Linked DNA regions of Xenopus tropicalis. The protein of the gene in region 1 purifies or fractionates together with the protein of each later gene. This does not show direct contact. Links are inferred from orthologs where the notes say so. Each region holds a gene or a part of one and is shown on either strand. Other genes may lie near its edges. The genes, in order: arhgef6 and pak2.

Region 1 (17,133 bases):
GTTTAAATCATAGATTACATCCTCCATCCCCAAATGTGCACTTACAAGGGCCTGCTCTTCTTTTATCTGGTCCCCAACATACTTTGTTCTATGTTTTTCTGTTATGAATAAGAGGCTCTGGATGATGTCTTTGACCATTTATTAATCCTGCAGGTAATTAGGTCATACCTTCCTCCTGTTGTGTGAATGTTAATATCCAATTTAGCAGATGCCCTTTTTTCCTTTTTTTTTCTTTCCAGATTTTCTGATACTGCTTTTAGGGAATTTTAAAATGCATCTGAAATTATTTAAAGGTAACCTTTATTTTGGTTAATAAACACTTGCAGACATCCATTGGATTAAGTACTGCTATAAACATACCATATCCATATATTCCACTTCCCTCCCCCCCCCCCCCTTCCATAACTTAATAAACATTGCTTTAAATATGTCGATGTGTGTTTTTTTTTTTTGTTTTTTTTTCTTTAGCTATTAGACTTCAATCTAGGAAACTATACTCCTGAACTTCAAACAGCATGTACATTAAAATAATTTTCAATGAAAGGCTTTTTGTGTGTTTTTAGTAGTGTGTGTGCTACTAGTGATGTACTTGGGTTTTTGGGCTAGCAATCCCAAATCCTTTGGTAATTCTGCCTTTAGCAGCCTCTATACATTTGTGCCTGTTTGGGTCCCATGTGCTCACATTAGGAATGGGTGGGTCATTAGGGAATATATATAATATATACAGGGAGGTTATGGTTGGGTTGCAGGTTGTTGCATCACTATGTGCCCATGTATATAAAATATATATATTTATTGCATTTGAAGCTTAAAGGAACAGTCCCGGTTTATCGGTTTTCTTATGAGTTTATCTGCTATGTTACCTGTGCCTTTTCTCCTTTGGACTGCCCCATGGCTACACAGCCAGGGTTTATATATAAACTACAGTAGTCTCTCTGAAGCAAACACACAACTTTTGCCAGGGCAGCAGTATAATAGTTAATTTACTTTAATTTTTTGGCATTACTGTTGCTTTAAGGCAGATTACACATAATGTACCTACAATTGTATGTGAAGTAAACGGTTGAACTGAACAGTCCTTTTTTTTTTTTTTTTTATGTAAAAAAAAAAATAAAATTCTGAAATCTCTTAAACCTTGCATCTTCTCTTCCATATCATGGGTGCCAAAGTAATTCATTGTAAATATGAATTACAAGTCTTTTCTAAGCAATCAATAACCAAAACAAGAAGTGTAAAGGACCCAGCCTAAAATGGCTTACAAAATGAAAGAAGGGGTTCATAAATCATAAGATTTATGGTGCATGCTAACAACCCAAGGGAACAAATACATGTTGGTCACACAGGCAATTAATAGACAGCTTTGTGTTTTACTCCCATACTACTACCTGTTGGTTAAAAAGCTGCATTGTTTCCAGAGGGAGGTAGCATGCCAACCATTACAAAATGGTGCAGGGGAAAGGATTAAAGAAACGGTAACACCAAAAAATAAATGTACTTTAAAGTAATAAAAATATAATGTACTGTTGCCCTGCACTGGTAAAACTGGTGTGTTTGCTACAGAAACACTACTATAATTTATATAATAAGCTGCTGTGTAGTCACAGGGGCAGCCATTCAAGCTGGAGAAAAGCCACAGGTTACATAGCAGATAACAGACAAGTTCTGTAGAATACAATAGTGTTTTATCTGCTATGTGCCTGTGCCTTTTCTCCTTCGAATAGCTGCCCCCATACTACACAGCAGCTTATTTATATAAATTATAGTAGACTTTCTGAAGTAAACACACAACTTTCACCAGTGCACGGCAGCAGCACATTATGTTACTTTTATACACTTTTGTTACTGTTCCTTTAATATACTAATATATATTATAACTTGGTAAGATAATTAGTAGAACACTTAGGCTGATGCCAAGCCAGGAGTATGGTGTATGTTTTCAAGCTGAAAAACATGTGCCATATGTCCCCCATCTGTGCCTGCACCTGAATGAATGAGAAACGCTTGGGTGCAGGCACATGTAGCTGATAATTACACAAAAACACTAGAGAATGCAAAGTCTCATGTTTTTATGCATATTTCTGCTACATGTGCCTGCACCCGAGCGTATCTCATTAGGCTAATGCCCAACGAGGCGTAGGACGGATATTTTCGGCAAGCTGAAAAGCGCTTGCTGAAAATTCCGCCCTATGCCTCCTACATGTGCCTGCTCCCGAATGAGTGAGATACGCTCTGGTGCAGGCACATGTAGCCGATATACGCATAAAAACTTTGCATTATATCGTGTTTTCATGCGTATATCGGCTACATGTGCCTGCACCCGTGCTGAATTTTCAGCAAGCGCTTTTCCACTTGCCGAAAATATCTGCCCTACGCCTCGTCTGGCATTAGCCTTAAGGAGTGTATGGTGATATTTTTGGCAAGTGTTTTTCCGCTTGCTGAAAATACTATGGGGCACATTTACTTACTCACGAACGGGCCAAATGCGTCCGATTGCGTTTTTTTCGTAATGATCGGCATTTGGCGATTTTTCGGAAAATTGTCGCGACTTTTTCGTTGCCATTCCGAATGTTGTGCAAAATCTGGCGATTTTTTCGTAGCGTTACTACTTGCGCAAAAAGTTGCAACTTTTTCGTGCCAAGTACGAAAGATTCGGATTTATTCAAGCTTCAGTATGGTGACTTTTCTTGGGCCAGGTTGGAGCTGCAGGGTGCCATTGAGTCCTATGGGAGGCTTCCAAAATCATGCTAAGTCTGAAAGTTTCGCCCGCCGCTTACGAGCGCTCAATACAAAAAAAGTCGCGACAAGATACGAGCGCATCGTAATGGCTACGAAAAACTTGCGTTTTTTGTGCAAATCGTATTGGTAACGAAAAAGTTGCAACAATTTCCGAAAAGTCGTAAAGGCGCCGAAAAAAATACGAAAAAGTCGCAAAATGTTCGTTTTCCAATCGGAATTTTTCTAATTCTGATTTGTGGGTTAGTAAATGTGCCCCTTAGTGTGGCATCAGCCTTAGGGGCTGATTCGCAAACGTTTGTTATCACAACGCATTATGCGATAAGATTAATATTATGTCTAATCAAGTAACAATTCATCAGTCATTTTGCATGTGTTAATAGTCGCATATGCAAGATTGCATCGCATTGCATTGCGACACTTGGCAAATAGGTCTTTGAATTATGCGTTCAGTCTAGTTCTATTTTAAGAGTTAAAAGCATAAATTGTGATCAATACTGTGAAACTTAACACCTCCTAGGAGTGGGCGTTACTAAACAACATTGCAGTTTATGATCGGCTGTGTTGACAAGATGGAGTTTGCAGTCTGATTTTTTTTTTTTTAATCTGAAGAAGAGAATCAAGTATGTGATCACCTTAGAGTGATGCATCCTCAAATTTTCATGAAAAACTGTAGTTTTCAGAAAGTAACGGTTACCTGGGTAGTAGCATATGATAATGTGTGCTATAAAATAACACATAAATATATTGCATGCTTTAAAATATGGCATGCTAAAAGATACCGCACATGGCTCACTGAAAAATAACAAAAATAAAAATCAGACAAGTGAACTTTTGGTGAATCGATAGTTAATTATAAAAATATAAGAAGTGATACCATTTTTAAATCATGCTAAAAATAACACTATGGGGGAGATTTATCAATCCAATAAAATTTTACGACAAATTCGTATTGTCGCTTCGGTATCGTGAAATTCCTTGGGCCAGGTTGGAGCTGCAGAGTGCCATTGAGTCCTATAGGAGGCTTCCAAAATCATGCAAAGAAGGATCAAAGTCGGAAAGGTTTTCCCACCGTTTATGATCATTCAATACGAAAAAGTTGCGATCTTCAGAAATGATTGTATCCAATACGAATTTTTCCCATTCAGGATTCGAATTTGTGTCTTAATAAATCTGCCCCTAGGTATTTCGACCTTTTGTGAATCACCCCCAAAATATGATATATTCTGGGGGTATAGTTTTTCTTCAAGATCAACACATACTTCATTTGTTGTGGAATAAAAAAAAAAAGTTTCTGCTAAATACAAAATGAGTAAATGCCAAACTGCAAAGCTATGCTAAGGGGCAGATTTAACAATATAAGTTTAGAGCTTAATACATAAAAACTAACCAACATTCTATTCATTCCTATGGGATTTTTAGAAGCATATTTATTAATGGGTGAAAGTTAGAGCTCACCATTTGACAAATACGCCTCTAAAAATCCCATAGAAATTAATACAACATGGGTGAGGTTTTTATATATTAAGCTCTAAACTCACATTTTGATCAATCAGCCCCATAGTGTTATAAAGTTCTTGAAAGTTCTTCTACAACCAGAAATATAGCAGATTGTAAAACTTGCATTCTGGGGTACATGCTCTTTGTGTGCCAACATGTGCTCCCTTGAGGTGTGGGGAGTAAAGCACCTGCAAAGGGGATTTTCTTAAATTACTATTTTTCCCATCTTCAGGGAAACAATTTTTATGTGGTAGGTGCCCTTTATGGTAGGATAATATTAACTGAAACTGCTCGCATAAAGTCATGGCATAATTGTTTTGCCCTGTGTAGCCTCTTTAGCTAATTTATAGCAAACTTGTATTAGGTACTGTCTTGGAGTTAATTTCTGTGATTTTAGCACATGACACTTCTGAGAAAGTTGTCCCGCTGCACCTAAGTGGAACTGGTGTGTTCTATAAATCATTTGGATCACTTTAACTAAAATGGAAAGGTAGGTTGGGGTTTGTGATCATCCTGCTCTCCTGAGAGCACAATAGTCATTGCAAGCTTAAATGCCATAATTTAAATTTTACAAAAAGTAAATATGAAATATATATATATATAAAAATATATTTCTAGTGTGGCTTTCCAATAAAGGAACAGATTGAGTCTTACTCTTTTCTGGTAATATGAAAACCTTTGGTATCCTCTGCCTCTTGCGAGACGGAAAGCAACAGGTAAGGGAGTAAGATCCTTTTTATGTCATGCTTAAGTTATTCTATTCTCATATCTTTTAAAAACGTTTCTATTATATTGACTTTAATAGCAAGGGCAGTCACATAAAAAAATATATAAATAAATATTTTGAAATAATATTTTGGTTGACCAAAATTATGCCATGATGCATACAAATGTGCAGTTGGTCTTCATTTTTAAATTATTTGGCTTTTGAAATTTTAGCAGCTATCCTTTTGTTAGGGTCCAGTTTAACCTAGCAACCAGGCAGTGCTTTTAAAGTGAGACAAGAATATGAATAGAGTAGGGCCTAAATAAAATTGTAGCCTTATAAAGCCATAGTTTTCTTCACAATAATGTTTTCTTTAAAATGAAGACCAATTGAAAAGTTGCTAAGAAAAGGCAATTCTACAGTATAATAAAAGTTAACCTGAAGGTCAACCACCCCTTTATTAAGGTTACCAGATTCAAGAAAAATCCAGTGATACCAAATAGGAGTCTCACAAAAAATATGAAGTGAAAACAAAAAGATCACACTCAATATTGGGTCCACCCAATGGAACATTTCCTAAAAATAGAAATATCAGTGCATAACTGAAAGGCAGTCCTGTGCAAGTTTGGTATTTCTGTTTTATAATGTATTTTTTAAAAATATATTTGTTGGTTCAGGAATAAAATTTGAAAAGGTAGAGTGAATTATTAGCTACGTAAACAGTGTACCGTATTTTCCTGTGTATAAGACGACTGGGCGTATAAGACGACCCCCGACTTTGGCACGGATTTTTCGGGGATAAAAAGTCGTCTTATACAGTCTTAAAATACAGTAGTTCAGCTATAAATGAGCAAATTATATAAATGAATCAGGCTGGAAAATGTAATAAATTTTAACTGGTAAAACCTTGATCATGTGGAATTTTGTATTTCCCTTTAATGAATAGGCCTCCTAGTTCTTTTAGTAAGGTATAGACTATTTATATATTCTATTTATATAGTTATACTAGTTATATAATTATATTCTGTCTTAGTCTTAATTCTTTGTGTTTTTTTCTTTTTACATTTGTTGCGGTCAATGAAGGCTATTTGGTTGCTAGAGTTGAATTACCATAGCAACCAAGCAGCCAGTAGAAAGTTCGAATGAAAGAGAAACATTGTATAGTCTGAACAGAAAAATTAAGCAATAAAGTTATAATTACCTAAAAATGGTGATGTGGTAAGAATTTATTACAAGCCCTTAGTGATATACAACGTTAGTCACTCTTGCTTTAGCTGACTAGCTGGGAGTTGCAGTTTAATGATGACCGGAGGGCCGCGGCTTGGCCAACCCTGCCCTGGTTTCTTTTCATACACTGAAGCTTCCCATGCTTTCCGGGTCAGGTTCCTGCTGAGTCCGTGGCTGAGGCACGGTATCAGTTTCGTGCAGTCGCGCCGCCATGCCCAGCTGCTGTGTGGCCGTCCCCTCCCCCGGTACTAGCCGCTGTGCATGCCGGGCCCTGCTCATGCCGTCGGTGCTCGGGGCTCTGCCCGCCCGGGAGATGCAGCTGCTGCTGGAGAAGTGACCTCAGGTAAATAGGCTTCCTCCTGATGGCGGCCCTGCCATATCCGACGTATAAGACGACCTCCGACTTTGGTGCGGATTTTTCGGGTTTAAAAAGTCGTCTTATACGCCGGAAAATACGGTAATTTAGAAATAAAATATACACCATAAAAATCATGACAAAATCCCTTTAAAGGAACAGTAACACCAAAAAATTTAAGTGTTCTAAAGTACCGTATATACTCGAGTATAAGCCGATCCGAATATAAGCCGAGGTATCTAATTTTACCTAAGAAAACTGGAAAACTGTATGGACTCGAGTATAAGCCTAGGGTGGGCTTACATAATATTACAATTACATGATGCTGAGAAGTGCATGATGCCCATGACTAGACAGGCCCAAAAATCTCTTTGGAGTGAAGCATCTTGCACTTGAGCCTCCTGGTGCACAGCCCTGATAGTGGATCTACCTACCAAATCTTGCACCCAAGGGGTTCAGCTTATGTACTAAGAGAGTGCATCAGGGTAGACTTACAGTTTGTGCAGGTTCACAGGGGCCTTGTGCAGCCATGAAAAAGCCAGGTTTGCCTGGTGTGCCAAAGGACTGGGGTGCAATACATTGCAGGCTGAGTCGCTCTTTGGCTGGGAGCAGCCACTTTCAAGTTAAGGCACAGTTTGGACAGCTCTTTCTCAGTCCGGGTCCTGAGTTCTATGCAACCAGTATTAGAAGGTGGTTGGTTGCTTAGCAACCAACCACCACCACAGACAACGCAATGGGCTGCTTGTGCTGCAGCTTAGCCCAGGAGTAGCGGCGGGTGTTTACTGTAGGCTGGGAGCGGGGATGGTTGAAGCTGCTGGGGACCGAGGCACACGCTCCTCTTGGTCACTGTGTCCGGATTGTAGAGATTGTCCAGATGAGGGATCGTAGCGGTACAGCGCGCACAGCGAGGGGTGGGGCGTCTGAGCGGTACTTGCGTGCACTTGCGTGCATCCAGAAGGGGGGGTCGGCGGCGGGGGTACGAACGAGCGGCAGCTGGAATCCTCAGACAGAGCGGATTCTCGCACGGAATCTGCCATAGGAGCGCACGTCAAAGAGAGGTTTTAGTGGTACAGCGCGCACAGCAATGAGGTGGTTTGAGCGAGGAGGGGTTGGTGGCGGGGGTGCGCGTGGACATCCACGGGATATACATGTTATCCATATACGCGAGTATAAGCCGAGGGTGACTTTTTGAGCACATTTTTGGTGCTCAAAAACTCGGCTTATACTCGAGTATATACGGTAATTGAAATATAATGTACTGTTGCCCTGCAATGGTAAAACTGGGGTGTTTGCTTCAGGAAGACTACTATAGTTTATATAAATACGCTGCTGTGTAGCCATGGGGGCAGCCATTCAAGCAGGGAAAAAGGAGAAAAGGCACCTTTGTATTCTACAGGGTTAATCTGTTAGCTGCTATATAACCTGTGACTTTTCTTCTTTTGAATGGCTGCCCCCATGTCTACACAGCAGGGTTTATATAAACTCTAGAAATGTTTCTGAAGCAAACACACAACTTTTACCAGTGCAGGGCAGCAGTATATTATAGTTTAATTTCTTTAAAATATATACATTTTTTGGTGTTACTCTTCCTTTAACACATTATGTATGTCACCTGGAACAGCTCTGCAAATCAATGGTTATTTGGATATAGGTTCCCCCTGGCTAGCCTAGCCCCAGCAGGTCACTTCAACAGTCTCCAAGCAGCAGAATTATAAAAAAAAATGTTGTTTTATATATTTTATTGGGTTTTTCAAAATAATGCAGGTTAGGGGACACTAACCGTGAAATTGCTGATTGGTTGCCCTGGGCAACATCGCTGTAATGCTTCACTCCACTTTTTACACAGCATGATAAATATACCCCTATATTTATCATGCTCAGGGCCACCAATCAGGCTGGATGCCTGGCCTAATGTATTTTATTTAAATATCCACATTTCTATATTCTACTAGATATATTTTATTTTCAGTTTATTCATTCAATAAAATGCTCTGTACTGTATATACACAACATGTATGAGGCTAACTATATCCAGTATCAAAGAACATGCATTTTAATTTCAGCCTCTTATCCTGTGCTGATCTGTTCTGCACTGGCTCAGAAAACAGAGCACTTATCCTACATAATTTATGAGACCGGTTTTCTGGAACATCAGGACATCCAGAATAACTTTGAAACCCTAGAGCAAGCACAATGAGAATAAGAGATGCAAGCAAAAAATACTACTTTAGGATCCCCAGAACGCAAAGCATAAGAGCACATTCTATTACATGCAGCTTCCTGCTTGTTACTGAAGGCAGTTGGTAAAGCTGTTGAAAAGTAAGCTCAGCCCGCACATATAGGAAGAGCAGAGCAGATGCAATCACGGATGTGGCTGCAGAACAGCTTTGTTACATTGCACCCTGCACTGTACGAAGCCAATTTACACAGCCATGAACCCTGAGGAACAGACCGTCACTTGGCTGATCTCACTGGGGGTGTTAAGTTCTCCCAAGAAAAACATATGCAATCCTGCTGACTTCTTGAAATGTTCACTGAAGGATGGGGTGGTGCTCTGCAAACTGATGAACCGCCTCCTCCCAGGCTTTGTATCTAAGGTAAGCCATTTCCCACTTTCTCCGTTTCGCCTAAATAGGCGCACAATATGAGTATACGAAAAATCCTGATTTTTAGGTATGATTTGTGCACAATCTTTTTTCAAACACAATTCTGGGAATAAAGGAACATAACTGCCTGGGCCTAAGTAAATAGAAATTCATACAGAGTCTATAGCAGGGGTCCCCAACCTTTTTTACCTGTGAGTCACATTCAAATGTAAAAAGAGTAGGGGAGCAACACAAACAAGTTCCTTGGGGTGCCACATATATGCTGTGATTGACTATTTGGTAGTCCCTATGTGGACTGGCAGCCTACGGAAGGCTCTGTTTGGCAGTACACCTGTTTTATGCAACCAAAACATGCCCAAAATCCAGGAATTCAAAACACCCAAGCGGTTGGGGAGCTCATGTTGCTCATGAGCCACTCACTGAGGATTACTGGGCTATAGTCTATAGGTGTCCTCTGAATACTTCATTTTCCTCCCACACTCCAATAACATACAGCCAGGAAAACTGGCTCCCAATACAACTGACCCTCCTGTGTGTGATTGTGATAGGGCCCTTAGACTGTAAGCTCCACTGGGACAGACACTGATGTGGATGATGCATAATCTCTGCAAAATGTGTCAGCGCTATATAAATTCCAGGAAACAGTTGAAAGTAAAGGCCACTTTTAAGGTAAAATCAGTGTGTTAGGTTAGCTCCTTAAGTATATAATACCCCAGTGCTTAAATGTTTTATATCCTCCCATGGTTATGTTGCAGCAGGACACTTGAAATATTTGTATGTTTTGTAGTCTTTTTTGCATAGCAATACACTAACCTGGAGTTAACATTCTGGCGTTTGGCACTGCTCTGAAAGATGGCAGAGGCTTGTGGATATTGTAGTTTATGAAAGAGGAAGCACTGATACACTGATGCATGTTGTTTAATAACTGGTCCACTTTAGTTCCTCTTATGCTTTTGTAGCGAGAACTCTGTTGGCCATGTAAGGATGAACTCTGTTTTGTCACTTCCCCTTAATGCGTGCTCAGCTCAGTCTGACTACTGCTTGATGCACGTCACATCTAAACATCTAGTAAGTTAGCTATATTATTTTTCCTCTTATATTCATTTGAACAATATGTTTCCCTTTTTAACGCAAACAGCTTCTAATGTACCCACTAACTTTGCTCTAAGTACCCCAGGGTATTTTTAAAAACAATTATATAAGGTTGTCTGAATGTTTCCTGTGCCTGGTAGAGAATGCTAGGAGCAGTTCTAAAGCAGAAGACAGCAGAGCAGCAGAAGAGCTATACGTTTGCTGAATACAATAATTATTTTGCACATTTATGGAAAAGGTATGTTAGTTATACAGTCTTATAAATACTGTATGTAGTGATTCACTGCACATCTTATTGTATTGTTACAAGGCATTACTGCTTGATTCCACTCTTCCATTCAGCTTTAACTTCATTGAATTTAAAATTGTGTAACAACCTCATTTGCTCTTTGGAAAATATGATATATGCAACTGGAAGCACAATACACAGCTGAAAACACTCTGTCAGAAAGGATGATGGGCAGAAAATTCATTTAAAGCAAGATTCCAAGCATGAAAATCATGCAGTACAAAACATGCATTGTAACTCTTGATTGCTGAGGATAAGTGGGGTTTATCATTCTCACGATCATCTGAGATGTACTACATCAATCATGTTTGCATTCGGACAAAATCCAATTTTCAACTATAATTTGTATATTTAAATCTGAATAAAAGTAGCATCACCTAAACATAAATACTTTTAGTGCTTTAAAACATCAAATTCATCTCAGCCAAACTATAAGGCAGTGGTGTCTGGACTCTTACGGAATATGCAAAGCTCCCCTTTGAAGGACAGAATTTGGTTAGGATGCCTCTAAGTTCCAAGAACCAAGTAAACCATTCAGTCTTTGTTCTCCAGTGTAAAATTTAAGAAAGCAAATAAGCATTCTGGACAAATCTTACAATATCTGGCTTACCCTAAAGCTGTGCCCCCAGCCACTACCAATCCACACTCACTAGCACACCCTGGCCTTTCCACTCTGTTCCGCCTGGTGCACAGTATTTAGAGTGAGACTTCAGCACTCTCCACCACGTTCCAAATAGCACAAAAATACCGGCACAACAGGACTTGTTTAAGCGGAATAAACCCCCAGCCACTGCTCCAGGACCCTAAGAGGGCCACCCAGTGGCGTAGCGAGGGGGGTGCCGAGGGGGCCATGGCCCCGGGCGGCGTATCAGAAGGGGCGGCGGCGGCTCCTTCTCTCTTACGCTTTTATAAGGTTGCGCCCGTGCGTATGACGTCACACGTCAGCGACGAGGCGCAACCTTATAGAAGCGCCTGTTGCCTGTAAGAGAGAAGGAGCCGCCGCCAATGGTCTGTTGGGGGTATGTACTATGGGGGAAATTGGGGGCACTGTGTGGGGGCTACTGTCTATGGGGAAATTGGGGCACTTTCCATGGGGGGGGCCAGGTCTTTGTGGGGTATTGTGTATGGGGGCACTTCCTATTGGGGGCACTGTGTATGGGGCAATTGGGGCTTTGTGTATGAGGGCACTTTCTATTGGGGGGCAAGGTCTTTGGGGGGTATTGTCTATGGGGACACTGTGTATGGGGCAATTGGGGCACTGTGTATGGGGGCACTTCCTATTGGGGGCACTTTGTATGGGGCAATTGGGGGCACTGTTTATGGGGGCACTGTGTATGGGGGAACTTTCTATTGGGGGAACTGTGAATGGGGCAATTGGGGCACTGTGTATGGGGGCACTTCCTATTGGGGGCACTGTCTAAGGGCAATTGGGGGCACTGTGTGGAGGGGGCTGTCTATGGGGACACTGTGTATGGGGCAATTGGAGGCACTGTCTATGGGGAAATTGGGGCACTTTCTATGGGCAATTGGAGGCAATGTGTGTGGGGGGCACTGTGTATGGGGCAATTGGGGGCACTGTGTATGGGGGTACTGTCTATGGGGCAGTTGTATGGGGGGACCGTGGCCAGAATAGCGTTAGGGGGGCCTGGCCAGCATAGTGTTAGGGGGCCACTGTGGTAGGGTGACCCTAATACTTTTTATGTCTGTGTGTCCTGTACTGATGGGAGGGGCCCTGTGATTTCTGATGGCGGCCCTGCCACCATGGGCAGCCACGGACGCACAGCTGAATCCACTTTTGACAATTATGACATGCGCACCGCATTTCAAATTCAATCAAAAAAAAAAAAAAATTTAATGCTGCTTTTTTTATTTTGTCTATTTTTTTTAAGAATAACTAAATAGAGGGGCGGCAAATTTCCGGTCGGCCCCAGGCGACGAAAGCCCACGCTACGCCACTGGGGCCACCCCCACCCCAACTGAATGCTGAACAATTGAACTTAGGCAAAGACCATTGGGAAATCTCACGTTTCAGCATTTTCATGTGATACCTATTCAACTCAATAGAAGACAATTTCAGCCAGGTGCATAGTCCCTTGTAGTTATCATGAACCTTAAATATTTTTTCATTTAAAAATGCTAAATATCTTCATAAATAAAATTTGTTTGTATTTTTGCATTTATATGTATATTAATGAATAACAGTCATTATCATCATAATCAGCAACTTTTTGTTGTCCTATTTTTCTTTTTTTAATGGCTTTCATCCTTAGTGTGTTTCTTCTAGACCTGAATTTTAAACTTAAAAGCAATTCATTTCTTTACACATTTGTTTGTTATTATGAATATAGGTTCTGTATAAAAAATGCATACTATTAATTTGAATACACATGCTCAGATTTTCTTTGGCAGATTGAACAGGCCTGCCCAACCATCAGACCACAGTTGGTCTGTCCAAAATAAAATGTTCATCTGCCTCAGCATGAGAACTGGCAAATGCAGAAGTAAGATAAGCTGCACGCAACAATAGGCCCTGGTATGCTTAGTCTTCCTGTGACAACCATATAATGATAACCCATATTGCTTCAGAGTTGGCTTTATACAAAAGCATAAGCATTTACTGAGACATCGTGAAAGAACTTTAGCTGCAAACTCACAAGCCTCTCTCCGCTGTTCTGCCTGTTCTACCCCCGGCTAGATGTGTTTCAGTGCAAGGCACGACGAGCCGCAGCTTGCTTGACACTACAGCCAATACTGACATATAGAAGCAAATCCAAGTACGTAGTAGCTTAGTTGTATGTATAACTTGTATGTATAACTTTATTTATAAAGCGCCACAAGGGTACGCAGCGCTGTACAGTCTTACATGGTAAAGGCAGTTTGTATTAAAGGTGGTTGTTGTAACCCTATTTTACTGTGATGCTCAAATATACGTACTATCTATAATACCAAGGCCAGACAAAAATGCAGTGTGTGATGTACTGCTGCTGCCAGTCAGACCAAAATATTTTTGATCTGACTGCGAAAACGAAATCATATTGCACAGATAATAACTGCATATAGGTTACTGACAAATTCTGTTTGAACTTTTGAAATAAACCTCGATTTTCCCTTAGTCTCACTACAAAGAGGATTCCTTTATTTACTGACACTTTCTATTCCCTCCAATGATTGTATGTAAACCAGTACTGTAGAGGACTGTGCTGAATTGTCTGCAGTGCCTTCCTGCACTCACTGCATATGCTACACACAAGCACACGCACTAGGGAGCTGCAGCAGTGTCAGAACAGCTTGTTTGGCTTATTTGTCACACATGTTCTGATTTAAAGGGTGGGTGCTCTGATTTTCCTTTCCGTTGCTGCTTTAGCGTTGTGAATTTTAGTTTTTTTTACTGCAAGCCACTAGGTTTGATCACATGGCCTGAAGCATTCTGTAGCTGTGTCTGTGCATGTTCTTCCAATCACCCTTCTGGCTTCCTGAACTTTGTAATGTAAACCTCACACTTATTGGCAGCTTTGCGGGAACTCGAGAGGTTATTTCTGTGCTACTCGCTGATTGGTTAGAGATATTTTCCAGCCCAGTTTACATTCTCTTCCTGTCACTGAATTCAGACTGTACAGGAAAGGAGAAGATCTTGTTTAGTAAACTGCTTTCTATAAGGTCAGTAGCTTTGGGTTTGTGCCCTTATTAACACACCTTTCATAATAAACTTATGCTAACACAGCATGTTGTTTCCTCCCCTACCCTCCCCTCAGCAGTTTAACAGGACTGTTTTGTATTTATACAAGCAGTGTATTCATTCACCTCTTTGTGTGTAGCTTGCCAGCATGGGATTTTCCTGTACAGGTATAGGGACTATTATCTCAAAAGTTAAGGACCTCAGATTTTAAAAATAAATCCATAATGTGGAACACTTGCCTTAAGTCAGATACAAAAGTTACAGATTGTCATATAGATTTATGCTAGCTTAGTTAAAGTCAGATTCAATGTACTGTCTTTTCATTACAGAGAAAAAGTAAACAAAGAAAAGTTGTTTAACCCCTTGCTTGCCATCGACATACGTGCTATGTTGTCGGCAAGCTACGTGCTTTTCCCAAAGTGCCCTTAACCCAGCGAAACCAGCACCAGGGAAAGGGTTAAATAGGGTGCTATCATAAATCGCAGTTTCCAAACACTCTGCATAATCAGTTAATAGACCCCATTCCCGTGTTTCTAAACTGCATAATATTGTAGTACAGTTATGGGATCCGTTATCCAGAAAGCTCAGAATTACGGAACGCCCATCTCCCATAGACTCCATTTTAATGAAATAATTCAGAATTTTAAAAATGATTTCCTTTTTCCCTGTAGTAATAAAACAGTATCTTGTACTTGACCCCAGTTAAGATATAAGTATTACTTATTGGATGCAAAACAATCCTATTGGGTTTACTTTTTATGTTTTATTGATTTTTTAGTAGACTTAAGGTATGAAGTTACAAATTACGGAAAGACCCCTTATCTGGAATACCCTTGGTCCCAAGCATGGGTCCTGTACCTGTATTATTTCCAGTCTGCCCTTTTTCCATCTTTTTCTTTGCTTGTGTTGATTTCCATTACTCCAGAATGAATGCTTTACCAACAGATAGTTTATATTATGTTAAGTAACCTATTAAAAAATCTCTCCAAATTGGAATATATATATATATCAGTAAATATTGCCCTTTTACATCCTTTCCCTTGAGCCACCATTTAGTGATGGGCTGTGTGCTCCCTATAGAGATTACATGACCATAAATAATGCAACTCTAACTGTAACAGAAAGTAGTGTGGAAGCAAAAGGCAGAATTCTGTCCATAAGTTGGCTGATGTTACCTAACATGTATGTGTGCTTTGGCTTGTGTGCACTGTGAATCCTATGATCCCAGTAGGCGGCCCTTAATTCATAAATTGGCAGTTTTTTATTTAGGAGTACCCTATAGCACATACTACTAAAAAAAGAATATTTTTATGAAAATGGTTTATTTAGATAAAGCAGGGTTTTGCATATGAGCTTGAGTTCTACATTGTTTGCGGGTATCGTTTTCTCTTAAATAACATGTACCGTATATACTCGAGTATAAGCCGATCCGAATATAAGCCGAGGTACCTAATTTTACCTAAGAAAACTGGAAAAACGTATTGACTCGAGTATAAGCCTATAAAGTGGGAAATGCAGCCGCTACTGCTAAGTTTTAATAATCAAAATAAATACCAATAAAATTACATTAATTGAGGCATCAGTTGGGTACATGTTTTTAAATATTTATTTAAAAGAAAAACAGTAAACTAGCTCTGTAAGTGGAGAAGAGGGTCAACAAAAACAATATGAGTACTACCCCACGCTCATTGCACATTGGCAAACTGGCAGCAGACCTGGTCCCGGAGGGATGTAAGGGGAAATAAGTATTGCTAGTGGGAGCCTAGGCCAGGGAACTGGAGGGTCTGGCTGTGGGTGGCCTAATTTGCACACAAAGGAGAGAGGGTGCTAGTCTAGAGGGACCCATGGCACCCGACTCGAGTATAAGCCGAGGGTGACTTTTTTCAGCACATTTTGGGTGCTGAAAAACTAGGCTTATATTCGAGTATATACAGTAATTGCAATAGTAACGTGTGACCTCTTCTGTCGCTCTCCAGATCTGAGAGTATTCCATTCCATTGAAAATTTGAGTACTTTGGGTTTTGTGGTCCAGTATTAGTTGACATGCAACATTGCCCAAACCTGACTAAAGGCTGGCATTAAAGTATGGTAGATGAAAGGCAGTTATTCTGAACAAAAAAGTCTGCACCCTAAGGGGCACATTTACTAATCCACGATTCCGAATCACGAATGGGAAAAAATCGTATTGGAAACGAAAATTTCGTAAGATCGCAAATATCACGAAAATGCTTACGAAAAAATCGTATTAGTCACGATAATATCGTATTGGCGATCCAAAAGTCACGAAATTTTCGTACTGAACAATTGTAAACAGCAGTAAAACCTTTCCGATTTTTTCGTGCAAACGTCCGAAAAAGTCGTGCAGCGTACGAAAAAGTCGTGCGGACGCCCGAAAAAATCGGCGAAAATACACTCGGAGCGTTCGCATGAACGCTCGTGCGTTCGTGCTTTTGTAAATGTGCCCCTAAGAGTCATTAATGTCTGAAAGTGCATGTCAGATGTAAGTCTCCTTGTTTTACACCAACAGTGCAATCTTTTTTCCCATAATTCCAGTGTCCCTGAGGTGGTGCCTGTCCTGAAAAAATTTAGCATCAGGAATGTGCCATTTCTATCTCTCAGTGGCAAAATGACATCTACGCACGGCTTCTTAGGCACACTGCGTCTATTGATGCTGTGGGAATTTACAGTGTCAATATACACTTGCTCACAGTTTGCAACAGGGATGGGCACATTGGTGCTGGCCACTTGTATGTGGGACTTCAAGGAGTGGGTTTGGATGCAGGTATCTTTAAGCTCTTTTGGGCAGGGCCCTCTTCTTGTATCGGTTATTGATTGCTTTATATGTTGCTCTGTATGTCCAATGTATGTAACCCACTTATTGTACAGCGCTGCGGAATATGTTGGCGCTTTATAAATAAATGTTAATGTAATGTATATTTAAGAAATGGC
Region 2 (16,824 bases), on another chromosome or scaffold:
AGAGCATCAGTTTATCTAAAAATACTCTTGGATTAAGTTTCCCTTAATGCATAGATGGGTAAGGACCTAAGGTTTCCAAATACTTTTATTTAAAGTTAATAAATAGCTTACATGCTACTTGATCCTCTTGTAAAACAGGGATTGTCAGAGCCTTACTGCTCTTTTTTAAACCAGAAAGACATTCACAGTTAAATATGGCATGAAGAAGATGGGAGAAATCATGTTACTATGAAATGACCTATTGCCACCTGGCATCAGACCACTGAATCCCTGGGGATGATGCACGTATTAAGACTAGGAAATGCCAGTTTAAAGGGGACCTGTCACCCCAAGACATAACTCCAAATTATTTTCTATATTGTCAGTTAAGCAAAATAAATGTTACTTACACTATATAAATAATATAAATCTTGTTTCCTTCCGTCTTGGATTACTCAAAGAAATCAAGCGGGCACCATTTTGTGGACATTGTTATGAAAGCAAACTTTGTATCATGCCAAAATCTTGTTCATGTGCCAGAATGGGGGACAAGAAGCCCAGGCCCTTGCACTGGCTGCACAATTAGATGATGAGGAGGGACGGGGATAGTGAGATGTGCATTGACATCTAGGTAGTGCTGAACGGAAAGCTAAAGTTATTGCCTGCCCCGCCTCTACGCCTAAGGCATAGAGGTGGGGCAAGCAATATATGATTGACAGCTGGGATTTTTAAATGCCTTTATAATGGGTTTGAATGTGTTATTATAAAAATGAATTTGGGTTTCAAGTTTAATTTGAAAAGGACTTTTATTATACAGCTTTTTATGCCTGGGTGACAGTTCCACTTTTAAAGCAGAACTCACAGTTATAGAAAATTAAGCCCTTCCACCAAACAGATTACCTAATGCTAGGCAGGTTACATAGTTGGGTTGAAAAAAAGACAATCAAGGTCAACCCTTCCAAGTAAACCCAGCACACATAGACCCATACTGACCTATCTATCCACTCACATACAGACCCATACTGACCTATCCACTCACATACAGACCTATCTATATACTCATACATAAACCCATATATACTGACATCAATACTAACTGTAGATATCAGTATCACAATAGCCTTCGATACTATGCTTGTTCAAGAACTCATCCAGGCCCCTCTTATAGGAACAGAATCTGCCATTACAACATCACTAGGAAGGGCATTCCCCAACTACAAAACTTAAGGATCCTTCCAACACACTACAGTTTACGGTATAACTCAACACTTATTATTTTTACTAATTTACACTCGCAAAGCAGTCAGGTTTCAGGCGGAAAATCATTGATTCCCTGACCAAAGTAGGCAGTAATAAGGGTAATCTATCGGGATGCCCTAGGAAGGTGTGGTCTAAACGCCCCACCTCCTTGAAGAGAAAGCAATTTGTATCCCTGATCTGGTCAATCCACCTCCATCACTTCCAGTTTCCAAGGCTGGTAAAGTTAAACCCATTCTGGGAGGTCTGGGGAAGGGGCATAGAAGGACAGAGGGTCCTTTTGCAGGAAGGATGTCTAGGTTGGGCATGGGTCTGCCCCAACCCACTCTATACTGTATACTATACTTTCATTTTACTTTGATTTATTTAAAGCTGCTTTCATTTACCAACAACTGTTATAGTTGATTTGGACTTCGATAGGTTGGCATGGTCAGTGATCCTAGTAACATGGATGACAGACATTTAATGGTGCTGTATAACTGAAGTCTATGAGGAATGTCTCTACCTAGGTTATAAATATGGTTGCGCCCCTACATGTCTGTACAGTAAACCATGTCAGGGAAAAGGGTCTGGATGATGATGAATAGGCAGGGGTCAGGCTGTAATGTAAAAGGGGGCAGAGTTGTCAAGTAGAGAGGATGGATCAAATGAGTAGGTAGTTTTACAAAGTTGGTAGTAGGGGATAGAAGGGGAGGTAGGGATTGGTCCGGATGTGGACAAAAAGTAGGGATTTACCAGCAACTACACACAATGTGCAACCCTAATGGTTCCTAAAGGTCCCTCCAAGTCGCGCTGCCCTCTCTTTCTGTGCATTCCTCTTTAACATCCCGTTAGTAACTCTGCTCTTAATTTTCTACATTACATATTGCAGAATAGGTATTACAAAGACAATTAAAATAAATATAATGCAACAAAAAAAATGCATGGGTGCATGCCCCCCCCCCCCCAAAAAAAATACCTTTACCTACTGATTAAAAAATACATGTACACAAAAATATAGAAATAAATTCCCATGTTTAAAGTTGCGCCAAGGTATGAAAAAGTTTAGAAAGACTTGCGAGAGCTACAACACACTTTTGCACATACAACCATTGTATATCTTAGCCATCATTTACCATTAATACAATAACCCCAGCTTGACAGGAAAAGGGATACGTTTTTCCAGTGGAGTAAGAATGTGTATAAAAAAGGAAGTTCCGTCCAGGATTTCCTATTGGAGAAGCACTAATGCACCCTGCAAATTCTTTCAGAGCTCTAATTAAATTTGCACATGAGGATGATGATGAAGATGATGAAAGGACTGTTTCTGTACTTCTGAAAAAAAAAAAAAAAACACAGCTGGAAAAAGACCATTTCCAAGTGAAATCACTTGAGAGGCCCAAAGACCAGTGGAGGAAATCAAAAAATGTTATCAGAAGAACAGTTCCCAAAAAGGTCTTATTTGTGAAAAAGCCAGATATAACGTTGCATAACAATGCATTGTACACATACAATGCATGAAAAATACCATATATTAGGAGATGAAAAGAAAGCTTACAACAATGGCTACCCAGTTTGCAAAAATAAGACTTTTCCAAGCAAACACCCTTTGCAACACAAAACAAGGTGTGCAGGTTTCCTATTGGCAGAAAGGAATATGTCAACAAAGAAAAACTACTACTTAATAAAACAGGAGTGATTCTAAAGCTGGCCATACATGTATAGATATTGTTAACAAATACAAGGTTTGGTACAATAACCTGTGTGTTAAAAAGTTTTGCTAGTATCCCTTTGTTCATACTCTGTACAGTCCATCTAAAGGTAACAATATATTTTATAGTATTTTCCTTACAGATGTATCTTTCCTACATGAAAATATAACTGATAACCACCTCCTAGGATACAATTTACTTCAATGGAAAACAAGCGAAACCTCTAGTTTCAGACAGGAAAGCTTACAGGAGAGATTTCAGACTGCCAAGGTATAACCCGTCAAATTTTATCCAGTAGTGACACACTGCGAAGGTACATTATGTATACTTTAAACCTCAAAGGAAACAAATAATAAGCACAGTTTTAATAACTGGGTTGAGTAGCACAGTACAGAAGAGTTTGTAAAGTTATCTGATTACACAGGAGATACAATTATGTGAGAGGCTGAACCTCGCACCATTTTGTCTGATTTAAAAATGCTATCAACACTGTAGCTCTAAATAACCGAGATGCAATTAATAATAATAACCTGTTTCCGCATATAACACATGGAGAGGATATACTTATCACTAAAATCGGATGGTAACCACATGTAGATGATGCATAACAGTATATGAGCTAAATGAAAGCAAAAAGAGCAAACGCTCCCCCTGCCTTCATCTGACACATGTACAGCACTAGTACACATAATAAACCTCTGGGTGCATGAGATTGCCGCTACTCCTCTTCACTGTTTACTGTTCTGATCGCCTGTGTGTTCGGCCCAAGCAAATGTAACAAGAGAGAGACAGGCATAATGTGATACTGCACATATAGTCTCTTTAACAACTCAACGTTGGAGGTATAATTCTGGTCATAAAAAAGTGCAAATGCCCCAGACCATCAGCAAGGTGTGATAATGAAAAACAGGAGTGGCTGAGCAGGCACACATGTAATCCTATATAGACAGGCAAAGTAAATTGAATAATAGTTATTTGCAAAATAGCAGAGTACCTACATTCCTTTGTGTTTTGTGCTTTTTGTTGAACTTAATCATAGGCCCATAATTAAGTGCAACAAAAAGCACATACCTCCTAAACACTCAAGCAAACAATCAGTCATCTTAAATTACTTCTAACCCTCGAAACAGGTTTTTGAATTTCATAACTTAATTCTGCCGCTTGTATCTTTCTGAAGCACATTATGGCTACATTTGCTGACTAAAGTTGCCCATACAGGGGCTGATAGGAACAGAAAACTTGGCTCCTCCAGACTGATTCATCAGCTTATTCAGCTGACTGAGAGGCCGCATGACCAATATCTGGGTGAAAATCAGACATATGTTGATTGATTGGGGAGGTTTAAATATAATACTGGGTTAAGACCACATCATCATGTTCATGTAGTCCTTGCCCAACAGATCTCCATAGGCCCTCAGTATGATTTGACTCCAAGGATTAGAGTAGCATGATCTGACTAGAGCTGTGGAGTCAGAAGCAATTTTCGGTACCTGGAATCGGAGTTGGCAAATATGTACTTATTGACTCTGTAATGGAAAATAAAACCCCCAATATGTTATAATGTCCTATCTCACAGATAATAGTCATAATAAGTACTTCTCTGCTGTAAGAATAAAGCCCAATAAGCAGTTGTTTTACTAGTGCAAAGTCCAGCTGAGCTATTATAACCTTATTGTTTTCATTTTTTTGTGTTTTGTTTCAACATAAAGAAATGTTTGTACAGGTATGAGATCCATTATCTGGAAACTAGTTATCCAGAAAGCTGGAATTACAGAAAGACCATCTCCTATAGACTCCATTTTATTCAACTCATTATCCACTCATTTGGCACCCAAGCCTATTGTCAATTTAAAGCAACTACAGTATCAGTACTGCTTTCTACAGTTGAAACAATACTTGCTAATCTGTGTCAATATATAAAGAGAGCAAAATTTAAAGAACATACCTGACAATCCATCATGTTAAATAGCAGCTCTTACTTTGTCCGAAAATGCCTATAGGCATCAAATAGATTAGGAATTCACTTCAGAATGTGCAAGACATGCACAAACAGGCCTAAAAGGGTGAGCTGGAACGTTATTTGATTGAAAAAGTAAAGATAAAATGTCACTGCTTCTTAATCTCAGTAAGACGCTGAGCTCTGTCTCAGTGTGCGAATGTCTCTAAAGTAAACTGTATATATCAAAGCATGAACAGAATAGCTAAGCGGCAATATATGAAAGAGTCAAAGATATGAATTTGTTAGGAGCTGTAAAAGATTGCAAGTTTTCAGTACAGCTTTATTATAACCTGCAGCAAGACCAGAAACTTGGGCCACAAAGTGCCTATTTTCTCACACCTACATTTTCCCACTCTACACAAAGCAACATAAGGAGAAGTTTCACTCCTGAACTCTGCAAACCACAATGTGGAAGACTAACGCCATTACAACCACCACTATTCAAGAATTTGCCTGTATCATTCAAGGAAAAATAAATAGCATTGATATTTTCCACAGAGAGGCAATGTTAAGTGTCAAAAAGTTAAAATGGCTCAGTATGCTTAAGCTGGCCATACATGCACCAATATAATAGTACAAAATGTAGTTTGTCTGCTTTTCGGACCCTGTGGGCTCCGAATTATATTAATAATAATAATTTTAGTACCATTGTGATCGTCATTTAGTCGATTGGACAAGTTAGAAAATTTCGGTCAGATAGCAATAAAATCTGGCCATGTATTGTGTATCTAACGATATTCCTTGTTTTTGAAACTTACATTTTTTTGTACAGCTCTTAGACTTGAACTTCAAGAGCTATCTGGTTGCTAGAGCTTAACTGTCTTAGCAACAAGACAGCACTTTGGAAAAGCGATAAAAATTGGACCACCACTAAACCCTTGCAGACATTGTGTTATTTGACCCCCCAAGAGAGCTTTTTCAGTTACAGGCTGGAAAAAGGCAGAAGAGCAATGTCAATGATTAAAAAAGTATTCAAATTAATGAAGACTGACTGAACACTTGCTTCCAACAGGTGGCTCTATACCATAATAACAAAATGTAAACTTCCCCTTTACATTTAGTTATGCATAACAGCATTCTGACTGGAGGACCAGTTCTTTCAATCCAACAGCCGTAATAGGAAAGCCAATATAGAATCAGCTGTAATAAGAAATAGCATCACAGAACTCTTGCTATCACGGTGTCGTTTTTACTCTACCTAGACTACAGATTGACAAGTTATAGTCAGGCACCAAGCAATTACATGTTTTCTATTGATGGTAAGCAGTCAATCAAAGAAAGCCTGCAGGGGTATCACCACTGATATCTACAAGGTTCATCCAGCAGACCCTTCTCTGCCTTTGCGTGACAAACCTAAAGTTGGCCATACACGCAACCATCTAATGGTATGATTTTTGGACCATGTTTGGGCCCATTCCCATAACTTTCATACAACGGTGACTGGTTGATTAGTCAACAGTGATAAAATCTATGCATGTATCCGACAATGTCCTTTGGTGACCTACAATGCATTGCAGGAACATCACTTTCATACGATTGTTGTTTGTCGTGACTTTATCCTTCAATTTCAATCTGAATGTTAGTTTTAGATTGTTGCATTTAAACATAAATTCGATATCTGAAAGTTTGTTGGAAGAAGAACAAAATCTATTTGTGTATGGCCGCCTTAAGGGTTCAGCCAGTGCGAGTACCAACCTGTCCAAAGGAATGATAAAAGGACAGTGAGAAATACATCACATTGCTTTACGGCAGATAATAGGAATTGCTTTTCTAAACATTAAAAGGCACATCTTACTTGCCTATATTTCTTACAGTTTCACTATGCACAATAATTTAGATTACTGACTTTTTAAATTAATTATTAGGAAAATAACATGCACAGCTATTAGTATTACTCTTTAAGTGATCAAAGCACTATTAGTTTGTCCCTATAATAATGCATTTTTGTAACTCTTGTGCAATGCACGTATACCCACCTGGGGGAAGAAATTAGCCCTTGCGGTTAGCGCTACATTTGTCCACAAAAATGACTGACTATTGTATTATTGCATTTTTCATTTAGAGCTCTGGCATGCAAAAAAACAAAATAATATAGCACTTGGCTGTATTCAAGGCCCACAGAAGACCAAAAGAACTGTACTGGACATGTGCAAACTGTAATCTACATAAATCACAATAATCTAAAAGCTCCCCTGCTAGATAAGCTCTCAAAGTTGTGCTGTCTGATTCACTCTGCCCCTCCATTTAGTGGTAAAGACTTCTACACACCATGTATTCAGTAAAGTGAATGTTACAGAGCAGTTTATTTCCTCGCCTGGCTGAGAGTAAATAATGATACCTACGCATTCTACCAAGTGTCGGACTCCCGGTGGGCCCAGGTGTCAGGGGGCCCTCATACTTCTTACCATTTGGCCTAGTTCATGGTCATTCATTATTTCTCTATATGAACAAGAAGACTAAATAGAACAGATTTATAGAGGTTGAGTGAGGAGTTGAGAAAAAGTAGTTTGGAGAGTGTGCCCCTGGCCCGCCAGTCCAACACGGATTCTACCTGTAACCCTGGTGCCATATTGATTTTATTTACCAGAATGCCATGGAAGCAAGTAGCTCCAGTCTTATCAGCAAATCTCCTAACATAGGAAACAAGAGATACGTCCATCACGTTCAACCATAATGCCTATATACAACCTGCCTCACTGCTAGTTAATCCAGACGAAGGCAAAAAAAACCCCACCTGAAGCCACTCTAATTTGCCGCAGAGGGGGAAAAAAATCCTTTCTGACACCAATGACGCAATCGGACCCTTCCCAGGATGGCAATGTTACTTTAAATAGGGGTACACACCAATGACATTAAACTTTGTTTCCTGTAATGATCTCTTTATATTTCTGCAAAATAAAAACATTGTTCTGAATTGAACAATTTACATTTCAACTAGATAGGTACGGCCTTGGTACCATTATTGACTCAACTGAACTGACAGGTTGGCAAAATCATGTTATGCCAAGGTATTAAGCAATGCAAGTTTTAACCGAGGAAACCCCCAAGACCGTGCAGACTAGCAGTTATACACCAAGTTACATTCACAGCCTAAACAGGTTTTTTGCCTCACTCATATATCATATTGTATTGTATACATACAGTGATACCCTTGCAGGTTGCAGTGCCCCAGTAGGTACATATCTTTGCATCTCACACTGAGCTCAATGGAAATTATTTCAGCAATTTTTTATTGCAAAATGTCAAAAACCACTAGTCTGAAAAAGTTCTTTATGGGGTTCATACCCTGAGTTTCTGCTGAAGGGGCTCACAGCCACTAAGTCCAACCTGGCAGCTGGGTGCCACTGTGCACCATTGGTATTCACAGCAGGAAGAGATCCAATAAAATCCTGCCTTGTCCCTATCTAATGATTATACAGCAAAGACACGTCCCCAAGCACAAGAAGGGCCATTCTATTGTACAGAATACTATAACTCCCACAAACCCCAGCTGCACATGATGCGAGTTGGAATTGAGCACTGGGTGCTTGCTTGTCCGGTCCAGCACAGGAATACAGGGAATACAAGGAATACAGAGAAATACAAGGAATACAGGGAATACAAGGAATACAAGGAATACCGACAGTGGATAAACTAGAGTTCCCGGGTTCCCAGAAGCTGTAGTTCGGTCCCAATAGGAGCCAAGGATTGGCTATAGCTGGCGTGCTGCCCCGGACACACTATTTCCTCTCCTCACAATATCCCCATCATGGTGTTACCCCTCAGCTTGCCGGCCTCGCCGCTCCCACACCGCACACCAGGCCGCCCCAACTTTATAACATGACACGTAACGGGACAGTGCAAACTGTGTGACAGAAAACCACGTTACTTATTACCGGGTGTGTGAATGAGGTGTTGTGACTTGTTCCCCTCCGCCGGCTCCCTCTCCACTGGGCCCCTTCTTTCGCTCTCTCAGACCCTCCTCTTCCTTGCTTTTTCCGGTTCCGGGTTGCCACACCTCCCTGGGTTCCCCACTGCTCCTGTCACAGTTCAGTAATTGAGCGCCACTGTGTGAGAAGCGCGTCACAGAGGGAGGAGCTGAGTGGCAGAGCGGGGAGACTGGGCGGGCAGAGAAGCGTGGGCGCTACCACCATAAGGGGGGCGGCGGGGGTGCTGGCAGGGCCGTGTACGCACAGCGAGTGAGGGGGGTTTGGGATTACGCCGCTGTGTTTTTGTCAGATGAGATGCAATGCCTGGTATGTGTGAGGAGTGTGTGGGCGTGCTAGGAGCCGTTACTTACCAATAACATGACAGTGAAATTGTAGCAGTCCTGCTGCGTGTGCGCTTGCGCTGTTATTGGCTTTCAGAGTGGGCGCTGACGCCTTGTTAGGGGTTTGCCGGATAGGTGGCCCTTGGGTTGAATGCAGGTTTCTGCATGTTACACTTGTCTCACCCACCCTCCCCACACAGCTGTATTTGGGCAGCTTCATTGTCTGGGTTGCATTTAAGGGAAGAGTAGGGCAGAAAGCAGAAATGCTGCATATTAGGTTTGGGCTCCTGTACCAGCCCAAGTCACCCACAGCCCTTTAGCAGGGAAGATCTGTGCCCCCAAAGATGCCCCAGTAGCTCCCCATGTTCATTTCTCCTGATTCACTGCTTAGGACCCTCTCACAATAGAATAGAATAGAATATATCTTTATTGTCATTCTCACATAGTAAACAACGAGATTTTAAAGGAGACATATTGGATAAATGGAAAAAACCCTAATTTTGTAGGCAATTATGAATAATATATGGTACTGGTTTCCCTTTGTGCTTAAAATGAATCCTATCTGTAACAATGGCCCCTTTATTGGAGCTCCCTATAGATCCTATCACTTCTCTGTCTGTGTTTCAAATGAAGGGTGGGCGTGTACTAACGGTCTCTGCCAGAAGCACAGTAGGAGGGGGAGAGCCAATCACAGCCCTGCACTCACACAAGCACAGACAGGCTTCCGTTCCCTATCAGGTCAGCCTAGCTGCTGATTGGTTCCTATCCTACAGTGCAGGGTACTGAGAGCCGCCGGCTCCCCAGCTCATCCAGAGAATTCAGCCAGCAGGAAGTGGAACAGATTGGTGGGACTAGAGGGGTTTTGTGGAATTTCTCAATAAATCAGTCAGAAACACAATGTTTTTTAAGCACAATCCTTCTATATTTAGAGGAATAGAAGTCACTGGTACATTCATAATTTTGATATGATATGTCTCCTTTAAAATAGCAACGACTCAAAGCAGTGGCATAATAATACTGTATACAGGGTTGGACTGGGGAGTTCAGGGCCTACCAGGGCACCCCCCAATGGCCCCCACCACCTTCTTCACCCCCCCCCCCATCCCGCAGAGGCCCCCAACACCCTACGTCCCCCTCCCTGCGAACGCTCCTAAAAGAATCCTAACTGCGGTGTGTCGGGGGAGGGACGCGGCATGGAGGAAGCGCCCTGGGGTTGAGCGGATCAGGACCATGGGGGCCCACCAGGTTTTCTCCCAATACCCCGGTCGAACGCTGACTGTATATACAGAATATAAATGTCACAATACGAGACGAGTAAATAATTCTGATTATTAGTACGTCAGCTCAGAAACCAGTGCAATTGGCATCAAAATGTATCAATCAGCCCTTTAGCATCAGCTTATATGGCAGGCAAACCTAATTTTCTGCTTGATAATTTGTGACAACCCCTAAGATTTGCTTCTCAGAATCCATAGTGGCGGTCAAGGGCAGATTTCATGCATGCCTGTTAGTACATGTTAGCTCAGTAATAACAAGTACATAAACCACCTGATACATGTGTGACTACTGTCCAAAGATGCAAAATGCATTAGCTCAGGGACCATGGTGCATTGAGGTACTCTGTACTTTTACTTCTAAATCAATATTGTGCAGTAAGCAGTGTAGCTGTGACTGCTGCCCATTTTGCTCAACTTGGCCAAGAACATCACCTAGCAAAGACAATATTCTGCCAAATGTGTAAAATGGGGTTCTCAGAAGTGCTTGAAAAGTGCAACAGTACTTCTGCTTTAAAGAGACACTGACACCAAAAATTAAATCTTTTTTTACAACTACCATAAAATTGTTTTTGCATGCTATTTATTTTACCTTAAAAGTGTTTGCTCAATGCCTTTATATTACCCATCTGATCCCCCATGTTTCTCTATGAGGGGGCGGCCATATTTGTGCAGCAGGAGTCCATTAGCATTAGAAGCTATAACTAAAGGTTTAGAAGGGACAGTGAGGTTGGCAAAACAGTCAGGTTAAGGAGCTTCAAGTAACAATTACTTACAAAAAACACCCTAATGGTTAAGGGTAATGGAGTGCCGTTAAATTTGCAGTACTGGCCTTGGAAGGTGTTTCACCGGCTACAATGATAAAATAAGTACAATTAATTGGTTTCCGTTACATATATATTGGCAGTTAAATGTAAGGTGCCCCATTGAAGTCCAGTAACTTGATGTTTTAAGGCTTTTTGCCAAGAAACCATAATATTTGTGTTTCCAGTCAACCCTAGTTCGTTTGACTTTGTACGTAACAGCCATGCTAACCCAAAGTCTTAAAGGGTGGCTTAAACTAATTGACTGCCCTACAGGCTCCTCTAGTCTGAATTTGACCCCTGGAAAAGTTGATTACAGATAAATAACTCTCGAAGATCTGTTCCAGCAACAAAGAGCCACAGGAGTGAATGTGTGAAATTCTCTGCAGGGTCACATACCAGAAGGAGAGGTCTGAGGTTAGGCCTTTGCCAAAAATTAAAGAGTGTTGCACTTGAAGGGTTTTAAGGAAACTAGAAGGCACTGGGACAAGCACTGCATTGTATAATTATCAGGCATTTTTTGTATATTCTGTTCCCACTAAGGAGATGTGATACAATGTATGTGATCCTCAACTTCTACTCTGTATCATTCCATTATGCTCTGTAGCTGCAGTTTATTAGTGTATTAAACAATTTCTGTGTTTGTACACGGCACTTAGTATAATTCTAGTGCATATTGGAATCATTATCAGTGTCATTGTACAAACGTACATCCTAGTGGTCCATTTTGTTTGAAACCTTCTGGGAAAATGTTGGGAATCCTGATAGGGAAAAAAAAACGGGGGGGGGTGAGGGCACCCAGTTCCCTTTGTTTACACCCTGTTTTCACTGTAGTTGTAGCTGGATATTTATAAATACAACATAGTGTGAAGAGCACTCACCAACACTTTCTTTGACTGTCAGGGACTCTTGGAATTGGAACAGCCCAATGGGCCCTTCTCCTACATCCCAATGAGTATCCCAGAGTAGCACAAATTTAAATTAATCATGGTGATTTGTAGGTATAAATATGGTACAGTTTTAAAATCACTAGTTGGTATTAGTAATAATGTAAAGTTCTATGTTGAAGGCTTGTGTTTGCTATAAAAACATAGGATTGCTCAAACATAGTTGAATCATTTTTTATTTTTTTAAAAGCAAAATTGTGGTACTTTCTGCTGATGGTTGATGATAATGCACTGGTACTGTGGTGAGATGAAGCATTATACACACAATGGGTCTGGTTTATCCTATACCAGAGCAATCTACATCTCCCGTGCAGGGGCCATTAGCAGTGATGTCAGCAGGAGAACCTACAAAGACACTCAGGGACATAACTATAGAAGCAGACTCTGGGACTGCTGGGGGCACAGGAAGTAGTGGGAGCCCACTGAGACTCTGGCTGATTAAGCAGTTTCAATCTATTTATAGGAAAATTGTCAAAGTTAGAGGGTGTGCCTAAAATCATTTTGCTGTGGGGTGCAGTCATGTTTTTCCCACTTGGCATCCTGCCCCATTATCAGTGCCTGTCCAGAATAAAGAGCAAGGACTTTTTCTTTACATATGAAGGCATCACTGACTGCATTTGAACGTTGTACTTACTGCCTGCCATAGTTTTTCTTAAATTACTCTAGTATTAGTACTCATAGGGGCACATTTACTTACTCACGAACGGGCCGAATGTGTCCGATTGCGTTTTTTTCGTAATGATCGGTATTTGGCGATTTTTCGGAAAATTGTCGTGACTTTTTCGTAGCCATTCCGAATGTTGCGCAAAATGTTGCGATTTTTTTTGAATCGTTACTACTTGCGCGAAAAGTCGCGACTTTTTCGCAGCTTTCGTGCCGAGTACGAAAGATTCGGATTCATTCAAGCTTCAGTATGGTGACTTTTCTTGGGCCAGGTTGGAGCTGCAGGGTGCCATTGAGCCCTATGGGAGGCTTTCCTTGGGCCAGGTTGGAGCTGCAGAGTGCCATTGAGCCCTATGGGAGGCTTTCCTTGGGCCAGGTTGGAGCTGCAGAGTGCCATTGAGCCCTATGGGAGGCTTTCCTTGGGCCGGGTTGGAGCTGCAGGGTGCCATTGAGTCCTATGGGAGGCTTCCAAAATCATGCTAAGTCTGAAAGTTTCGCCCGCCGCTTACGAGCGCTCAATACGAAAAAGTTGCGACAAGATACGAGCGCATCGTAATGGCTACGAAAAACTCGAGTTTTTTTGCGCAAATCGTATTGGTAACGAAAAAGTCGCGACAATTTCCGAAAAGTCGTAAAGGCGACGAAAAAATCGCAAAAAATACGAAAAAGTCTCAAAATGTTCGTTTTCCAATCGGAATTTTTCCAATTCGGATTCGTGGGTTAGTAAATGTGCCCCATAGTATTCATATTTCATGTAATGCACAGATTTGACATTTCCAAAAGTAATTATTATTTACTTAAAGGGGTGGTTCGGCCAGAGAGCTGATATTGATCCATAAATAACCCAGAAGGGTTGCTTTATTGATACGGTACCCTGCAGATCTGTATCTGTTCTGCAAGTCCCTATAGAGCACCTCTTTTTTATGAATTCCGAAGTACAGAAGATATATTACAGTGGCAATGTGTAATAAGGATAGCATACCAGAGCAGATTCAGGGGTTTGTGCATCTGTTATGCACAGTGTATTGATTGAAAGATAGTGGTGATATTACTTATGCTACCAAAGTTTTAGTCTGCCCTGGGACCTTCTGCAGTGTATATGATATATTCAGGTGTATATTACAAAGTGAAGACTCATAAGGGCCATGACAGACGGGGATATTAGTCGGCCGCAACAAATCGCCCTTGTCGCAGGCGACTAATCTCCCCAAAATTTGCAGCGCAGCAATTTGCTGAAATCGCCAAAGTTGCCTTGAGAGGAATTTCGGCGATTTTGGCGCTGCAGTATGCCATCCCACTGGCCATTTTATATTCTAGCCAGTGGGATGGCATTTCGGGGAGATTAGTCGCCCGCGTCAAGGGAGATTTGTTGCGGGCGACTAATCTCCCCGTCTGCCATGGCCCTAAGGGTTATAGAACAAGCAGACAAGGTATAGAGTTAATCACTTCCACTCCAGTTGAGTAACTCTCAGGTTACAGCAGAGCTACCCATTGTGTTCATATTCATTATTAGAATGGACTCACTTTAAAATTCAGCAGACATTCCTGCTACTAATTCACTCATAGTTTAATTAAATATAACAGCATTTGTCCTTATTAAAGCAGAAGAAAAGCTACTGATATATATATAAATAAATATAAAAAAACAGGTGCACAACAGGTAACAAACCAGAAATGCCTGGGTGCTCAGGAAACTAAATAATTATGTCTTATATAGTCCAGCACAAAAATAAAAAGATAAGTCTTTATTGAACATTTTGGCTTAAACTTGAGCCTTCATCACGAAGTGATGAGCTAAATCGACGAATAGAGATCTATTTTTTTATTTTCACTATTGCTATATATATATATATATATACATACACACACATAGGTATGTATACAACGCTAAAGAATGACAGCTAAGCTGCAGAAAACTGTATAAGAACATTAAGCACTAACTGAGTACATTCTCTTGCTTCTAGGTACTTTCATTTAAAGCATGCAAATAACTTGAAAAACTCAAGTCTCAACTTGCCTTTAAATCACACAGCTAATGAAGCATACAGCGCTTTGTAAAACCTGCCCAGAAGGCAAAACACTTGACAGAAGCAGAAAGAAGTGCTGAAAGTTAAGAAGAGCTGAGCATTAACCCTTTAAGTGTTCCCGAACATAGAATCCATGTACCATACCAAAAAAGGCTGCTAGTTTAGGGCGAGTAATGATAATCAGGGATTTTTATTACCTTGATATTGACTTGAGGAATAGTACTTTCGGTACAGTTAATGGAAACAAGTTTAATTTGTTGCATGACAATTTTATGTCACAGTTTGTTAAGGAGTCAACCAGAAATTGTTCTATACTGGATCTAGTGATTTGTAACAACCCAGAATGTATAGCAAGTGTGTAAGTGGAACCCTTAGGTAATAGTGACCATTTAATATTTGTTGCAAAAAGTAAAAGTACTCTGGGGCAAGAAAACAAATATTAGTTCCTTAAAGAGATTCTGTCATGATTTTTATGGTATATTTTTTATTTCTAAATTACACTGTTTACATAGCAAATAATTCACTCTACCATTTAAAACTTTATTCTTCAACCAATAAATGTATTTTTTTAAGCTGTAATATTGGTGTGTAGGTGCCATCTCAGTGCATTGTGCCTGAGTCTGAGCTTTCAGAAGGAGCCAGCGCTACACATTAGAGCTGCTTTCAGGTAACCTATTGTTTCTCCTACTCCCATGTAACTGGAGGAGTCCCAAGCCGGACTTGGATTTCTTACTATTGAGTGCTATTCTGATACCTACTGGGAGCTGCTATCTTGCTCCCTTCCCATTGTTCTGCTGATCGGCTGCGGCGGGGCGGGGTGATATGACTCCCCTTGCAGCTCAGCAGTAAGGGTTTGTAGGAGGCTGGCAGTCAGCATATGTAAAATACAGGAGGTATTCAAAATATTTTAGGTCAAATATGTTTTACATTTACAACTTAAAGTAGCCATACACGTTAAGAATGATCGTATTATAACGGGAGCAATGGGTGCAGTTGGTTCGGGGACCGCATCAACGAGTCGATGTGGTCCCCGATCCGACTAAATCTTTTAACCTGCCCGATCGATATCTGCCCAATTTCAGGCCAGATATCGGTCCGACATGCCCCTCGTTCCTGCCCCTACAGGGGCCAATAAGCTGCCGAATCGGTCTAAGGGACCGATATCGGCAGTTACAATCGGCCCATGTATGGCCACCTTTATATAAAGAATACCACTTTAAATATGAAAAAACGCATGTGATTTGACATTTTTGTTGGAATGAAGGGTTTTATATCACTGAGGATCTAGTTTCATCAATTCAGGTTAGTGCATTTAGAATAATGAAAGCAGAAACAAACAAACAACAAACTTTAGGAAAGCTTTTCAGTTTTGTAGTGGATTCAAAACACAAATGTTTTCCATTTTGGATTTGTCAATGTGCACTTTCCAAAAATATATATTTATAGGCTACACTTATTATCAGTGCCATGTTTGGCCATGCAATCTGTAGAAAGCTCAATAATCTGGGTCTGGAGGGATTTTGTTCAGCGCAAGTCAGGAATCTCTTTATAACTATACATATTTGTTATCGGCGTGCTTGTGACTTTCCAAATTAGTTGTAATTTTGTTTATGTAATAAAATATATTTCTCATATCTCTATATAATGAGAATCAGAATCTATGTCTCTATATAATAAGAAACAGTAGGGTTGATTCACTAAAGTGCGATAAGCGTTATTGCATGCTTTTTTGCGGTAAAATTGCCGCGAATAAAAAACGTGCGATTCGCTTAAGTATTATCGCATGCGTTAAGTTGCATATTGCGTGCGTTAATTAGCGCGCAACTGCATACATTAATTTTACTGCATTGCGTTAATTAGCGAGCAGAAATAATACGAACGCATGATTCACAAATACTTAGACGCGCTAAATATTGCATTAGTTTATGCGAAAGG

Evidence for each region.
Region 2: the proteins of arhgef6 (region 1) and pak2 purify together in Homo sapiens (affinity purification with mass spectrometry; 3 studies listed by BioGRID and IntAct, counting the BioPlex papers as one, with this or other methods). This does not show direct contact. The link is inferred for Xenopus tropicalis from reciprocal best matches to the Homo sapiens genes ARHGEF6 and PAK2.

What each region holds. Positions count from the first base shown.
Region 1 is NC_030684.2:69,202,163-69,219,295, reverse strand, and holds the start of arhgef6 (rho guanine nucleotide exchange factor 6), read left to right. Parts: upstream 1-8,923; 5' UTR 8,924-8,953; coding exon 8,954-9,118; intron 9,119-10,162; exon of another isoform or gene 10,163-10,171; coding exon of another isoform or gene 10,172-10,195; intron 10,196-13,871; exon of another isoform or gene 13,872-14,165; intron 14,166-17,133. UniProt on the Homo sapiens protein: Acts as a RAC1 guanine nucleotide exchange factor (GEF).
Region 2 is NC_030681.2:129,797,375-129,814,198, forward strand, and holds the start of pak2 (serine/threonine-protein kinase PAK 2), read right to left. Parts: upstream 9,116-16,824; 5' UTR 8,802-9,115; intron 8,685-8,801; exon of another isoform or gene 8,550-8,684; intron 1-8,549. UniProt on the Homo sapiens protein: Serine/threonine protein kinase that plays a role in a variety of different signaling pathways including cytoskeleton regulation, cell motility, cell cycle progression, apoptosis or proliferation.